Alligator mississippiensis: one gene and its partner. The protein of the gene in region 2 interacts with the protein of the main gene of each other region in a pairwise test. Links are inferred from orthologs where the notes say so. Each region holds a gene or a part of one and is shown on either strand. Other genes may lie near its edges.

Region 1 (6,424 bases), on a different chromosome or scaffold from region 2:
CAGCTGGGAGGCAGAGGGAGGACATCCTTGTGCCTCTGCCCCCCTGACTTTTGGAGGTTCCTGGTTCCCTAAGGCTTGGTTGCTGGGGATGGGGTGTCTGTCTGTCTGTCTGGGGGGTGCAGGGTGCATGTCATGGGATGTGTGTGCGTGTCCCTGTCTGGTGTGACTGTTGGGGACAGGGTGGGGGTCGGCGGGCTGTGCGATTCCAGCAGTGGCAACACAGTCCCCTGTCCGGAGAGGGCACCCCTGGGGGGCCCCTTGGTGCTGGATGACTGGCGTGAGAGGTCAGTGCCCAGGCTGGGCAGGATGGGCCGAGGGCTGGGGGGCCGGGGCAGCTCTTAGTATCAGAGATGGCTGGGGGCCCTGGGTGGGGGAAGGGGACAGCATGGCTAGACCTCATCTGTGCCCCTACCCTACCCTGCCCAGGCAGACAACACCTGGCGCCGCAAGGCGGGGGAGAACCTGGGACCTCAGTGCAGATGGGCGAGCTGGTGTTGGCACCATGTGGCATCTCCCTCGCAGGGGTCTGGGTCTGCCCAACGTGGTGTGGTGCTCCCAGGCCACCTGGGCCGTGGGCTGCCGGAGCCACTCCTCCTGGGAGGGCTGGCATCTGTGACCTGTACGGGGCGTGCAAGGCCGAGGGCAGTGCAGGTTGGCCCCCCAGCCGTTAGGCCCACCCCCCGGTGCTTGCCACTGGCTGCTAACTCTCAAGTCCCTAGGTTCTGGCAGCGTGTGCTGAGCTGCGTGCATTTTGCCCTTGTCTCTGGGGCCAGGTGGGGAGCAGACCTTGCATCTCCTGGGTCCTCCGCTCCGCCCAGAGCCTGCAGTCCTCATGCCCACTGCTGGCATGAGGCACCGTTTCCTCAGGGCACAGGGCTTGCATGAGTTCCTGCTGAAGAGTCCTGCCAGGTGCCGCGCCTTGCTGTGTCCCCCCGGGGAGCAGGGCCCCAGCATTCCTCGTGGGCTGTGGGCCTGGCCTGCAGCGTGTCCCTGCGAGGCAAGGGGAGCCCGGCCATCCAGGACAGCCTGTGGCGGAGGGCCTCAGGCGCGGCCGGGGCCCAGTGCAGAGCGGGTGGGGGCGGCGTGGCCATGTCCCGTGTGCCGTTAATAAATAAGCCCGTGCTCTGCATGTCTGCGTTGCAGGAGAGGCAGCTTTCCGCCGTGGGTGCAGCAGACTCGCGTGTGAGCGGCGCCCTGGGGCCGCCCTGGAACGGGATGCTGCCCGCCCAGCCCCCGCCTCCGCCCCCGCGACTCCAGATCACGGAAAATGGAGAGTTCCGCAACACCGCTGCTGAGCACTAGCCACTGCCCCCGCGGGATGTGGCGCCGGGCCCCGCGCCGGGCGGACCCTCCCTGCCCGCCGCTGCCGCCCGCACGCCCGCCCGCGGCTCTGGGGGCGCAGCAGAGACCCTGGCCGGGACATGGCGCCCTCCCCCTCGGCCCCCGCATCGCAACCGAGCAAGCAAGCAAATAAACCCGCCCTCTTCTGGGGGGAGGGGCCCCCCACTCCTGCCCCCCTTTGCGCACCAGCCCCTGCCCTGCCCCTGCCCCTGCCCCAGCCCCCCATCACGCCGTCCCTCGGGGAACGGTGCGACTCTTCAAACACAACTTCAGGGTGTTTTATAGCAGGACACAGATGACAATCTTACATCCACCCCTCCCCACCACCTGCCCCGACGCTCTCCCCTTGGCCCCCCCACCCCTCGTCTATCTCAGGAGTGCCCCCTACCCCATGGCAGACTGTCCATTGAGTTGCCCCCTGGGGGCCCAGGTGTCTATGCCTTGGCCGGGGGCGAAACACCCCACCCACCCCACTGCCTCTGAGCTGCCTCATTGCTGGGGCATGGGGGAGTGTAGCGCCAGGCTGAGCCCCAGGGAGACTGCCTGGGGTGAAGCTGTGGGCTTTGGGGGGTTGTGAGACCTGCCAGGGGGGCCTGGCTGGCTCCGGCTCCCCTGGGCATGGGGCGGGAAGAGGGTCCTGATTCTGCCCCTGCCCCCCCAGCAATGGGGAGTGTGGGGACAGGTGCCCGTGGCTGGACCGAGGATCCTAGCACTGAGGCCCTGGGTCCTGTCCCTGCCCCTGCCCCAAGATTCCCCTGCAAACCTGCCCCCGCCCCTTCCCTGCAAGGCAGGGTGACCCCCGTCCCTGGGGAGCCTCCCCTCTTGCTGGGGGCAGTGCTGGGCTCTGCCCCCGGCTCGCCCTGCCACCCCTGCCCCGCCTGGCGCCGGTGTGGGGGGAGGAGGGTCTCCCACGCCGCCGCCTGCCCCAGCCCTGCTTTCTGTGCTCTCTACTCCGACAAAGGGCTTTGCCTGCTCAGCGCCCACCCGCCCGCGGCCTGGCCAGCGCCCCCGGCCCCCGGACACGGACACTGGGCTGTAGCTGCCTGGGGGAGACGGGGCACCACGGGAGGGGCTTTCTCGTTCTTTCTTTCTTTTCTTTCTCCGTTTCCTCCCGGTCTCGAGACGCCCCAGGCCCTGCCCCACGGGGCGAACGTGGGGGCAGGGGGGGAACGCGACCACCGACCAACCAACGGGAAATCTTGAAGAAGCCATTTCTCTGCCCACCCGCCAGCGCGGGCACGGGCCCTGGGTGGGGGTGGGGGTGGGGGGCGCCGGTCCTACCCCCTGGCCTGAGCACGGAGAACTGGAGGGGGCCTGTTGTGGCTGTTCGCCGTCGTGCTATGGTCCGACCTGCTGGGTGAATGTGTTCAGCGCAGTGATTGTACTGGGTGTTTCTTTGCTGTTTCTGTGTCTCTATTTCAGACTCCCGGCTAGGGCCACCCTCGCCCTTCACCGGCCCCCAGCCCCTCCTCCCTGTGGTCCATATTTCTTTTGTAAGGCCTCACGCCTGCCCTCCCTCCACCGCCCTCCCCCCCCCCCCCATCCCGGACGAGGGCGGCGCCGTGATATTTATACGTATTAATTATTATTATTATTAATGATTATTATTATTATATAAAAGTTTGTACATATGTGAAATTTTCTCGGCTCCCGCCCCTCCACCCGGCCGCGCTGCCCCTCTCCCCTGCCCGTCCCTGGGCTGGGTGCTGTAATTACCACCGGATTTGTACTGTACATAGACCTCTCTGGACCTCACTCTCTGTACATAGCCCGCCTGCCCCCCCCGCCCCGGGAAGGGAGCTCAGGTGTGAGCCCGGCGCCCGCTGGTGCCCCCGGGCCTCTCTCTTCTTTTCTTTTTATTATTCCGCCCCCCCGGCCCTTTTCTTTCTTTCTTTCTTTCTCTTTCTTTCTTTCCTTTTTTTTCTGGAGTGTGTGGTGACAACATCGGAAACAAATGAAAATGTTTAATAAAAAGCGATTGTTCTTTTACGCCGCCTCGGCCCCGGGGTGCTCGCGGCAAGGCCGGGCCGGGGGGGCGGCGGGGCGGGGCGGGGGCCCGTGCCGGGGGCGACTCACGCACATGTCCGCTGGGCCGCGCGGGGAGGGGGCGTGGCCAACCAAAACCCAGCTCGGCAAGAAGCTCGAGAGGCCCTGCGATTGGCTCCTTCTAGCCAATCAGGTCTCAGGTGCTGGGAGCTGGCGCCCCGCCCTCCGGCGGTGGCGGCGCTGGTTGGCTGGCGGGAGGAAATGGCTGTCCGCCGGGCTGGGCGCTGGTAAGCTTGTGGAGGGGGGGGTTAGTTTCTGGTTGGCCGCCTGCGGAGCGGCGGTGGCGGGCGCTCCCGAGAGAAGCCCGGCGCGTGGGATACATCGTGGTCGGTCGCGTAGGGCAGGGCAGGGCAGGGCGCCGGGGGCTGAGCCCTGCAGCAGCGGCGGCGGCACGGGCGGCTCCCGCGGTGGAAGCGGCCTGCCTGGGGCGCTTCTCGGGCTCGGCCCGCGCGGGGCAAGGCCGGGTGTTTCCTGGTGTTGAGTGCCGGTCGGCCCGCGGGGCGGGGCGGGGCGAAGCGGTGCCCGGGGTTGAGTGCCGGTCGGCCCGCCCGGAGGGGCGGGCGCTTCCCAGGGTTGGGTGCCGGTCGGCCCGCGCGCGCAAGGGAAGGAAGGGGCGGGGCGCTTCCCGGGGTGGGTGGGCTGCAGTGGGCCCGCGGGGGAAGGGGCTGGGCGGCGGAGCGGGTGCGGGCTCCGGTGGCAGCGCTGCCCGGCGTGCCGTGCCCGGCCCGGCCCGGCCCGGCCCGCCCGGCGGCGCGATGGAGGCGGCGGCGCGCAGCGTGCAGATCGAGTTCCCGCACTTCGCGGCCGCGCTGCTGGAGACGCTGAACAAGCACCGGCTCGAGGGCAAGTTCTGCGACATCGCGGTGCACGTGCAGGGCCGCGTGTTCCACGCGCACAAGAGCGTGCTGGCCGCCGCCTCGCCCTACTTCCACGACAAGCTGCTGCTGCAGGACACCAGCTGCCTGGCGCTGCCCAGCGTCATCGAGCCCGACGCCTTCGAGAACCTGCTGCAGCTCATCTACTCCGGCCGCCTCAAGCTGCTGGTGGAGGCGCTGCCCAGCCACCTGCTGGTGGCCAGCGGGCTGCAGATGTGGCAGGTGGTGGACCAGTGCTCTGCCATCCTCAAGGAGCTGGAGGGCGGCCCCTACCGGCCCTGGTCCAGCCGCGCCAGCGAGAGCCAGTCCCCCAGCAGCAGCAACTACTTTGCGGTGAAGGAGGACGGGGAGCTGGGAGGCGGCGGGGAGCGCGGCATGGCGGCTGTGGCCCGCGGGGTGCCGGGCTGCCCGGACGATGAGGTGATGAAGATCCGGGTGTCCCATGAGGAGGAGGAGGAGGAGGAGGAGGACAAGCACCCGGCCGGGATCTGCAGTGGGTCCCTGGACAAGTCCATGAAAATCGTGCTGAAGGATGATGAGGAGGTCGGGCTCGGCGTCTCCAAGGGCCCGGCCTCCGCTGAGCCGGACGGCCCCTTCCCCAGCCCTCGAGACCACCCCAAAATCTACTACATCAAGCAGGAGCGCTTCGACCCAGAGGAGGCTGCAGTGGCGGCGCTGGGTGGTGGGGCCGGGGCTGTGGGCGAAGCCTGCTTTCTCAAGTCGCTGGCACAGGGCCGGGCGCTGGGCATAGCCGAGGTGCACGGCCTCTACCAGGCCAGTCTGCCGCCAGGCAGCAGCAGCGAGGTCAGCTACATTATCCCGGCGGCAGGCAGCACTGCCACCAGCGCTATCGCCTCCTCCTCCTCCTCGCTGGCCGCCCCCGGCTTCACCATCAAGGCCCAGCCCCTGCCCTCGGACGAAGTCGGCTTCCCCCAAAGCTCCTGGAAGCCGGTGGACCTGCACGGCAACGAGATCATTGCGCACACGGTGCACGGGCAGGTGGTGCACGCGCCGGTCAAGATCGTGGCGGCGCCTGACGGGAAGAAGTTCGGCTGCCTGTGTGGGAAGCGCTTCGCCGTGAAGCCCAAGCGGGACCGGCACATCATGCTGACCTTCAGCCTGCGCCCCTTTGGCTGCTCCGTCTGCAACAAGAAGTTCAAGCTCAAGCACCACCTCACCGAGCACATGAAGACGCACGACGGGAACCTGTACTCCTGCGAGGACTGCGGGCGCAAGTTCCGTGTCCAGAACTGCTTCCTCAAGCACAAGGAGCTCTGCAAGGGGCAGGGCTGGGCCACTGCCTGCTGGACCTACAAGTAGACTGGGGCGGGCGGGGACAGCCCCGCGCCACATCCCGCCAGGCCGGGCCCTGCCTGACCGCTCTGCCCCCCATGCCTTTGGGTTCCCGGCCCCGTGGCCGGCGCCCTGGTGCTGGGGCACGTGGGAGCTGGCGATTTGGGCCCTGCGGCTTCAGTGCTGCGATGCTGGCCCCGGGAAGGAGGTGGTGCAGGGCGGTTGGGAAACACTAAGGGGGTAGCTGTGGGTGGGGGAGGGGGGAGCGTGTGCAGCCTTGTGCCAACCCGTTCTTGTATAAACAGTTGCAGCCCGGCGTGGGGCCGTCCGGGATCTGTCTGTCGGCCTCGTCTGTCCCCCGCGGGGGGAGGGGGCAGAGCGGCCTGGGGCCGGGGCCTGTGTTGCCCTCACGGCCTCCCCGGGGCAGCGGGGCGGGCTCGGCCGGGGGCTGCCCCGACCTGGGGGCGGGCTCGGGCGGCGCAGCCTGGTGGCTGTGACCTGCCACATGACCAACGTCCGTGCCCCTGGCCCTTGGCGTGCGTGACCTCCTGGGGGCGGGAGGTGGGTCGCGTGGCTACGCCCCCTGCCCCTTTGGCCGACACCGAGGCTGATTGGGCCGGCCGCGGAGGGCGGAGAGGGGTGCCGGCCAATCGCCCCGCAGCGGAAGCGGCCCTTCTTGCCAATCCGGGCGGCGGGGCCCGGGCAGGGAACGCGGCCGGGGGGCGTTGCCCTGCGTGGGCCAATGGCAGGTGAGCGGTGGGGGGCGCGAGCGGAGGGAGGCGCGCAGCCAATGGGCTGGGGGCGGCAGTGACGTAACGGGGGGAGCGAGGTTTGAAAGCGGCGCGCGCTCGGGCTGGGGGCGGGGCCGC
Region 2 (7,903 bases):
GACCATCCATACAATTAATTACACTGCCTGTATTTACACAATAGCCAATTATTCATATGATAGTATTCAACTTTTCCACACAATTCCTAACTTTTCTATGTTCAAGATGGTCCGTAACATTATACAGCTATCCTTAAAAAAAACCCCTAACAACAACAACAAAAAACCCCAAAAACAACCAACAAAAATAAGCTTTACATACCCAGGACATTCAAAGTTTAATTAAAAAGAAATATTAAGGTATATAAATACATCAGTCAGACTCCCAAACAACAAACTCTGTAACACAGTAAGGACAGAACCACATAAAAAATGTTTTAAAAAAATTATTACAGTTTGGACTAATATGATTTGGGATCACAAAAAACTAAAATAAGATCCTAATTGTATGGGGTTTTTTTGCCTGATGTCATTACATGACAACAAAAGTTTTCTACATCTCTTACCTGATAATACTAGTCTGAATTTTTCAAATGGGTTTGTAACATTTTTGGGGGGATACTTGAAACATCCATGTCCTTTTTGTTTTACTCTCCCTCAACTCAGTATTATGAACTCTGAATTTCAACTCCCTATTTACAAAGATTTGTCTGGAAATATATATGTATACATGTTTTGCATTACTGGCCTATAATTAAAATTGCATCCAAGTCCAGGTGTCCCAGCCTGCAGCGCGCATGCCACAAATGGCATGGGAAGCCTTCCTGTGTAGTGCACAGATCAGGGAGGAAACCAAGGAACACAACAGCAGATAGGACAGAGAATAGAAAGCAAAGGAACAGGTCAAGCAGGGAGCACAGGGCAATGGGAGAAAGCAGAGCAACAGATCAGTCAGGGGTAACAGATAAGGGTGACACTCAGGGTGGATGCAGGGCTTACTTTGTGGCACGCCTGACAAAGATATTTGTCCCCACCGCTGGAGATCAGGTGTGCTTCTAAGTAGCTAGGAGCCAACCGAACATGCAACGAGGGCCACCCCATGATGCCCCACCTTCAAAGCTGTGGGCAGGAAATGGAAGCTGGAAGAGGGAGGGAGAGACCAGCACAGGAGAGCAATGGCGGGGGGAGGCCAGCCACTAAGAGACAGAGCACCAGTTAGACAGGCCTGTTATAGATCACGGTAGCCAGTATCAGCAGTCACACTTTGCAGAAAAATTGAGAACATAAGACATGAAGAAAAGCTTCTCCATCTGAAACTACTAAGGATATTTTGGAGGGAGGTAGTCCAAGCTGAAATGTAGTCAATTGGTAATGCCGAGATTTAGCTTTAAACACTTGAAAACGGTACTTTCAGCAGCACAGTCCTACCCAAAAGGGTGCAATGTTGGGATAATGGTTCAGTTCCAAAGGGAAGAGTGCCACCTACTGAATCAACACTGTCCAGACCATCAAAGTTTTCTTTGCAGGTCTCCTATATCAATATTCATCAGGCCTAACCTTCCCTACCATGGATGTGGCTGCAGGCACTTTTGACATTCTACAAAGAATTTTTCACAGGTCTAGATGTACAAGTCACTGCTCTGTACTAAGCATTTGCCCTGGACGAATTGTTAAATATACATTATGAGACACTAACTCAATAATTTCGTTAATGTATCTGCACCTATGCGCATATATGTTTGATATCACAGGCTGGTTACAACAGTCAGCATTACCTGGATCACACAGGAAGCTTTCTAGGGACAACTTTCACTTTTCTATACACAATTTCCTCTTTGTACTTTTAAAGGCAACCTAAAAAAGGAAAAAGAAATGTTTTGTCCTCTATAAACAAGGTCCGCCATTTTCCCAGCTCACTTTTCACTCTGGAACAGCGGTTCCCAAACCGACAGGCTGCGCACGATACGACCTGAAGTACCGCCAGCAAACTTTTCAGTTCAAGCTTAAGTACCCCCCGGCACGTTTTTGTCATATAAAGTCATTATAATCAGTCTGTGAACAGGTACCACCGGCGGGCTGTCTGCGTTCGCGTGCCGCAGATTGGGAACCGCTGCTCTAGAAGTCTCACGAACGTTACGTCTGCTTCTCGCCACGGGACCCGGTCACGGCTAAGGTGAACCATAGCACGTCGGGCCGGAGGGGACCTCCCGGGGTCGCATCCAGTCCAGCTCCCTGCTCAAGGCAGGATCATCCCAGCCGCGTGTCCGTCCAGCCTGCTCCTCAAAGCTTCCAAGGACGGAGGCGCACAGCTTGTCAGGGCGGACGCGACCTCGGAGGATCGTCGGGTCCAGCCCCCTGAACCCGGCAGGGAAGACACGTGGGGTCAGGCAACCCCGGCGACGGGACCGTCCAGTCTCCACATCTGGACACCCCAAACGTGCAGAAGTGTTCCCTGACGTTGAGCCCGAATCGATGGTCCAGGAGCTAGTGGCCGTTACCCCCGGTTCTCCCCTCGCGTGCCCACTCGCCGAGCCCTCAACGTGGCCCCAGCGCGGCCGTGCGCTGCTACCAGCCCCCGCCCCCCCGCACCTCTAGCCGCCCGCTCTCCTGCCTGACCGCGCTCCTCCTCGGAAAGTTTCACCCCCCCACCCCCCGAAGAGGCTGCTCCCCGCCGCGCCCCGCTCCACCCTCTCCCGAGAAGCGGGGGGGGGGGCGCGCGGGAAGGCCTCAGGGGCGGCTCGGAGGTTTGTATGACACCCAAACCGCGAAATACAGGTGGGGAGCCCCTGGCCTCGCCGCCGAGGGCGCAGGGAGATGCTCTCTTCCAACGCGCCCTGCCCTTGGCGCGCGGGCAGACGCTTCAAGGCGGCCCCGGCAGGTCCCGTCCCTTCCCGTCCCGCCATGGTGTTGCACGACGAGAGGGCAGCTGGACGGGGCGGGGGGAGGGGAGGGGCAGGACGGGTTTGGGGGGGGGGCCCAGGCCGCAGCCCCCACCCCCCCTGGCGCAAGGGGACGCCCCGAGCCCGCACCGCCCCGCCCCGCCCCGCCCCACATCCGCACTCACGTTCCCCGGCCGGCGGCCCGGGGGCAGCGGAGCAGGCGGCCGCGCCGTCCCCGTCCTCTGCGGAAACCGCCTCAGCCGCTCCGCTGCGCTGCGCTGCGCTCCAACGGTCCCCGGCCGCCTCGCGGGCTCCAGCCAATCGCGGCACGCCTCCGCAGGGGCGCGCGCGCACCGACCAATCCGGGGCGGCGGCTGCCTGCCCCTCCCCGCCCCCTCTGCCCGCTCTAGCCAATCCGCCGGCAGCGCTGGCCCAACCCCTCCCCCTCCTGCTCCTCCTCCTCCTCCCTCCCGCCCCGTGACGCTCCTCCGGCCAATCGGCGACGCGCTCCGTGCGTCGCGTGCGTTCCCGCGAGCCCCCGGCCAATCAGCGAGCACCTCCATGCGCCCCTCGCCCCCAGCCAATCATCGGCGGCCGCCCCTCGCCCCCAACAGTCGCCTGCGGCCCCCTCGCCTCCTCCGCAGCGCGCAGGCGCAGTAGGGGGGCGTGGCTCTGAGGGGACAGGCCTTGAGTGTTTGTGGGCTGTGAGAGACGTGGATACCTATAGATGTACACGTATAGAGAGATACATACATACATACATACATAGAGGGATATACATGTATGTAAAAGACCTCAGTCAGTCACATCCGCAAAGTGCAGAATTTAAGAACAACGCCAAAAACTGTGAGATTTGGCAAGTGCTGAAATGGAGGTTTCCCCTCAGCTTCCAGGCCGTGGGGGCCACGTCGTGCTTCACCGAGCCTCTCCCACCTGCCTCCCGGGGTCGCGCCAGGACCCGTCTGAGGGCAAAGCGCGCTCTAGGCCTCGGCCTGCCTGCGGACAGCTCCGAACTGGGCCCGGCGCAGGCTGGCGGGGCGCCAAGCCCGGGGGTCAATGTCGCCCCTTGCGCAGGACGAAAGAAGACGCGCTTGCTGCCTAAAACGAGGCTTGACGGGCAACCGGGAGTCCGGATCGCGATGACGTGCGGAGGCCCTAAGCGACATCCCTCTGAAGAGGCCCCGCACAATAAAAATAATCCACGAAATCGGATCTTCGTGACATTTTAAGATGAATTATTGTTATTTCTGCACAGGTTTATGACCTCGGTATGAAAAATAACTGTGGCGCCGTGAGGACTACGTGCATTAGCGTTCTACGGATGCGTGTTTGAGTTTGAGCCCTGCCCGCGGCAGCTTTCGGAGCACGTTACACACCTGTTCGATAGCCTCTGCCCGCAGTTTCCCCAGCTACGTTTTGCAAGTTTTGCCTCAAGGCTAAAACTGATGGTCCGACGGGTATTTGTAAGCACTTTCAAACCCATTTGCAGGCTCCAGTTTCACTCTAGAAGTAGCGTTGAAGACATAAGCATTAAATAGATGAGGATAAAAGCCTCAGGTAAGTATTTGTATTTTTCACACTCTTCTTGAACAACGGGGCCAAGTGAGGGAAGGAATTAATCTCGTCAGATGTGGCAGGAGGACTGATAAGTCAGACCAGTACACAAGTGTTCAAAAGGATATGAAGAGGGGCAGAGCGAGGTGTGAGGACTTCATTTCTGCCCCCACACCTGTATGTTGCATTTCAGTCCCCCTTCCAAAAGCTGAAGTGCCGAGACCAGTGAGGAATGGGAATGGGAACGTGGCAGGCACTCGGTGCTGAGATGGAGCGAGGGGCTGCAAACGGGCATGTCAATTGCCTGATGGTACACAATGCTTAGATCACAGCTGGGAACTGAAAAAGGGGAAATCTGATACAGGGCCCAAACACAGAATGAAAGGCAGCACAAGAACTCCCATTGAAACGAATGATTCAATTCCTGCGTCCCTAAGCAACTTCTTCATTCTGTTTCCATTTCCAAAGGGGCGTTATTCAGGAGAGAACAAATCCCTGGAGTAACTGGGCCACTTCATGCTGGTTTGAGCCTCTGATGCTGCAGATGTAAACGTAGAATTCCTTTATGTGCTAAGGCAAGATTTGGCATAGGAATTTTACAGATCCAGCCCCAGCTGGTACGTGTCCTAAAATAGCACCATCACTTTCTCATGGCTCCTTCAAGTTTAACAGGAAAATGGATCATGGAGGAGAAAGGTCTGGTTGGGTGGTCACAGAGCAGCACATGGGTGCTGGAGTGGTCAGAATCACGTGTGGTTGTCATCAGCAGCAATTCCTCGATTCAGTGATGATCTCTACCATGGCTCATTGACGGGTTTGAGGTGACATAAGAGTCCAGTGCTTGAGCCACAAATCCATCCACAGAAGTTGCAGGTCTTTCCACAGGGGAGAGTAGGCTGCAGGCAAGGATTTCTCTCCTTTTCCTTTCTCTGCACTCTCTGCTTTGAGAGCAAAAAACTTTACCTCAAAGTGGGCTGCCACTTGGTTGAGGTTAAGGTGTCATTGGGGTCAGTTGGCAATCAGCTCCTTCCAGCTTTTGATGTCAGCTCCTTACTGAATCATTCCCAATGATTATTGTTAGCTCCAGCAGGCAGAGGAAAGTTCGCATTGTACAGGTGTTTTCTTTTCTGGTTTTCTGAAATCTAAATTTGCATTGCCTTAACTTGGTATTTCTTGGTCTTGAGAGGTTTTAGTCCATCACGTCACATCACAGTGGCAACTTCATAGTTTCATAGTTGGTTGGGTCAGAAGGGACCTGAGCAGATCATCAAGTCTGACCCCCTGCCATGGCAGGAAAAAGTACTGGGGTCAAACGACCCCAGCAAGGTGTTCGTCTAACCCCCTCTTAAAGACCCCCAGGGTAGGAGCCAGCACCACTTTGCTAGGAAGTTGGTTCCGGATCCTAGCTGCCCTGACTGTGAAGTAGCGCCTCCTGATGTCTAGTCTGAATCTGCCCTCTGCCAGCTTGTGACCGTTATTTCTAGTCACTCCTGGTAGTGCTCGGGGAAACAGGGACTCCCCCAATGCCTGCTGGTCCCCCTGACAAGTTTGTAACAGGCCCCTAGATCCCCCCCTCAGCCTTCTCTTGTGGAGGCTGAAGAGGTTCAGGTCCCGTAGCCTCTCCTTGTAGTGCCTGCCCTGCTGCCCCCTGACCATGCAGGTGGCCCTCCTCTGGACCCTCTCCATGCTGTCCACATCCCTCCTGCAGTGCGGTGCCCAGAACTGGACGCAGTACTCCAACTGCGGCCTGACCAGTGCTGCATAGAGGGGGAGGATCACCTCCTTGGACCTGCTCGTGATGCATCTGTGGGTGCACAAGGTGTGGTTGGCCTTCCTGACCGCGTCCAACACTGTCGGCCCATGTTCATTTTGGCATCAATAATGACTTCAAGGCCCTTTTCTGCCTCTGCACTGACGAGAAGGGAGCTCCCCAGCCTGTAGGTCTGCTGCTGGGTCTTCCTCCCCAGGTGCAGCACTTTGCACTTGTCAGTGTTGAAACCCATCCTGTTCTCATCTGCTCACCCCTGTAACCTGTCTAGGTCTGATTGCAGCCTATTCCTCCCTTCTAGCATGCCCACATCCCCCCACATCTTAATGTCGTCAGCAAATTTGAACAGGGTGCTTTTTACCCCCTCATCCAAGTCGCTGATGAAGATGTTGAACAGCGCGGGTCTGAGGACTGATCCCTGGGGGACCCCACTGCCCACATCCCTCCGGGTCGAAAACGACCCGTCCACCACCACTCTCTGGGTGCGACCCTCCAGCCAGTTAGCGACCCTATTGACTGTGTAGGTGTCGACGCCACAGTCCCCTAGTTTTTTAATGAGAATGGGGTGAGAGACGGTGTCGAAGGCCTTCCTGAAGTCCAGAAAGACTACGTCCACTGCTACCCCTGCATCTAAGGATTTTGTGACCTGGTCGTAGAAGGCCACCAGGTTGATCTGACAGGACCTGCCTCTAATGAACCCATGTTGGTTGCCCCTAAGCATAACCTCCTCTGCCGGCCCCTCATGGACATGCTCCAGAATAATTCCATCAAAAAGCTTACCCAGGATCAAAGTAAGACTAACGGGCCTATAGTTTCCTGGGTCCTCCTTCCTCCCTTTTTTGAAAATGGGAACCACATTGGCCCTTTTCCAGTCCTCTGGCACCACCCCAGAGCACCACGAGTGCTCGTAAAGCCATGCCAGGGGTCCCGCAATGACTTCTGCCAGTTCCCTCAGCACTCTGGGGTGGAGATCATCAGGACCAGCTGATTTAAATACGTCCAGTCCCTCCAGAAGTCCCCTGACTAGATCCTCACTGACCCTAGGCCTGATTAATTTGCTGAAGTAGAAGGCAAAGCAATCAAATTCATACTTTCTCCAAACGGAGAACCTGGGCCAATTTTCAGACATCCCCATCTGAAATTGTTGTTTAAATTAGTATTGAGGCATTTTGTTGGTGATTTAGACGCTGCAGTTTGAATGGTGGTCTTATTTTTAAGAGATTTTCCGAAGTTTAAGTTGTTTAAAGGAATGCCAATGACTGGGATGTGGCTTTAGGGCTGTTCTTCTCAAGAGATTTAAGACATTTAATTGTGGGCTGCAAGAAAATGTATATGTCTGATTAGGATTCACAGCTGTAATTTCTCATGGAGTTAGGTGTCAAAGCCTTTCTTCAAAAAAAAAAAAAAAGGCAGAGGAAGAGGAGGTGTCCCCTTTTTTACCTAATAGTCCGGTGTTAGAGCACTTATATGGGATATAAGAGGCTGGGGTTTACCTGACAGGATTTAAACTCATGCCTAGCATCCCACACCAGAACATCTATAGTTTGATTGTTAGAGTATTTTCCTGGGAAGTGGGTGATATAGAATCAAGTCCTCTCAGAAAAAGAAGCGACTTGAACTTGAGTATCCCACATCCTAGAAGAGTGTCCTAACTACCAGGCTACAAAGTAAAAGGAAGTGGTAACGGGAGATTAGACGTCACAGATGTGAAATAATCCTTCTGAATGTGAACAAAGCATAAGCCAGTGCAAAAATGGATGTACCTATGGATGGCCTCTATGCGAATAGAGGTTCATGCTAGCACATCTCAATGTTGGAGCAG

The links. The genes of interacting proteins can lie anywhere in the genome.
Region 1: the proteins of DTNB (region 2) and ZBTB9 interact in binary tests that used the Homo sapiens proteins (3 or more experiments, as listed by UniProt). The two-hybrid records come from large-scale screens. The link is inferred for Alligator mississippiensis from reciprocal best matches to the Homo sapiens genes DTNB and ZBTB9.

What each region holds. Positions count from the first base shown.
Region 1 is NC_081834.1:64,914,198-64,920,621, forward strand, and holds ZBTB9 (zinc finger and BTB domain-containing protein 9), read left to right. Parts: upstream 1-4,142; coding exon 4,143-5,582; 3' UTR 5,583-5,888; downstream 5,889-6,424. Other genes in the region: SYNGAP1 (ras/Rap GTPase-activating protein SynGAP), read left to right, coding at 1,144-1,302. UniProt on the Homo sapiens protein: May be involved in transcriptional regulation.
Region 2 is NC_081824.1:1,020,891-1,028,793, forward strand, and holds the start of DTNB (dystrobrevin beta), read right to left. Parts: upstream 3,059-7,903; 5' UTR 2,945-3,058; intron 1,735-2,944; 5' UTR 1,656-1,734; intron 1-1,655.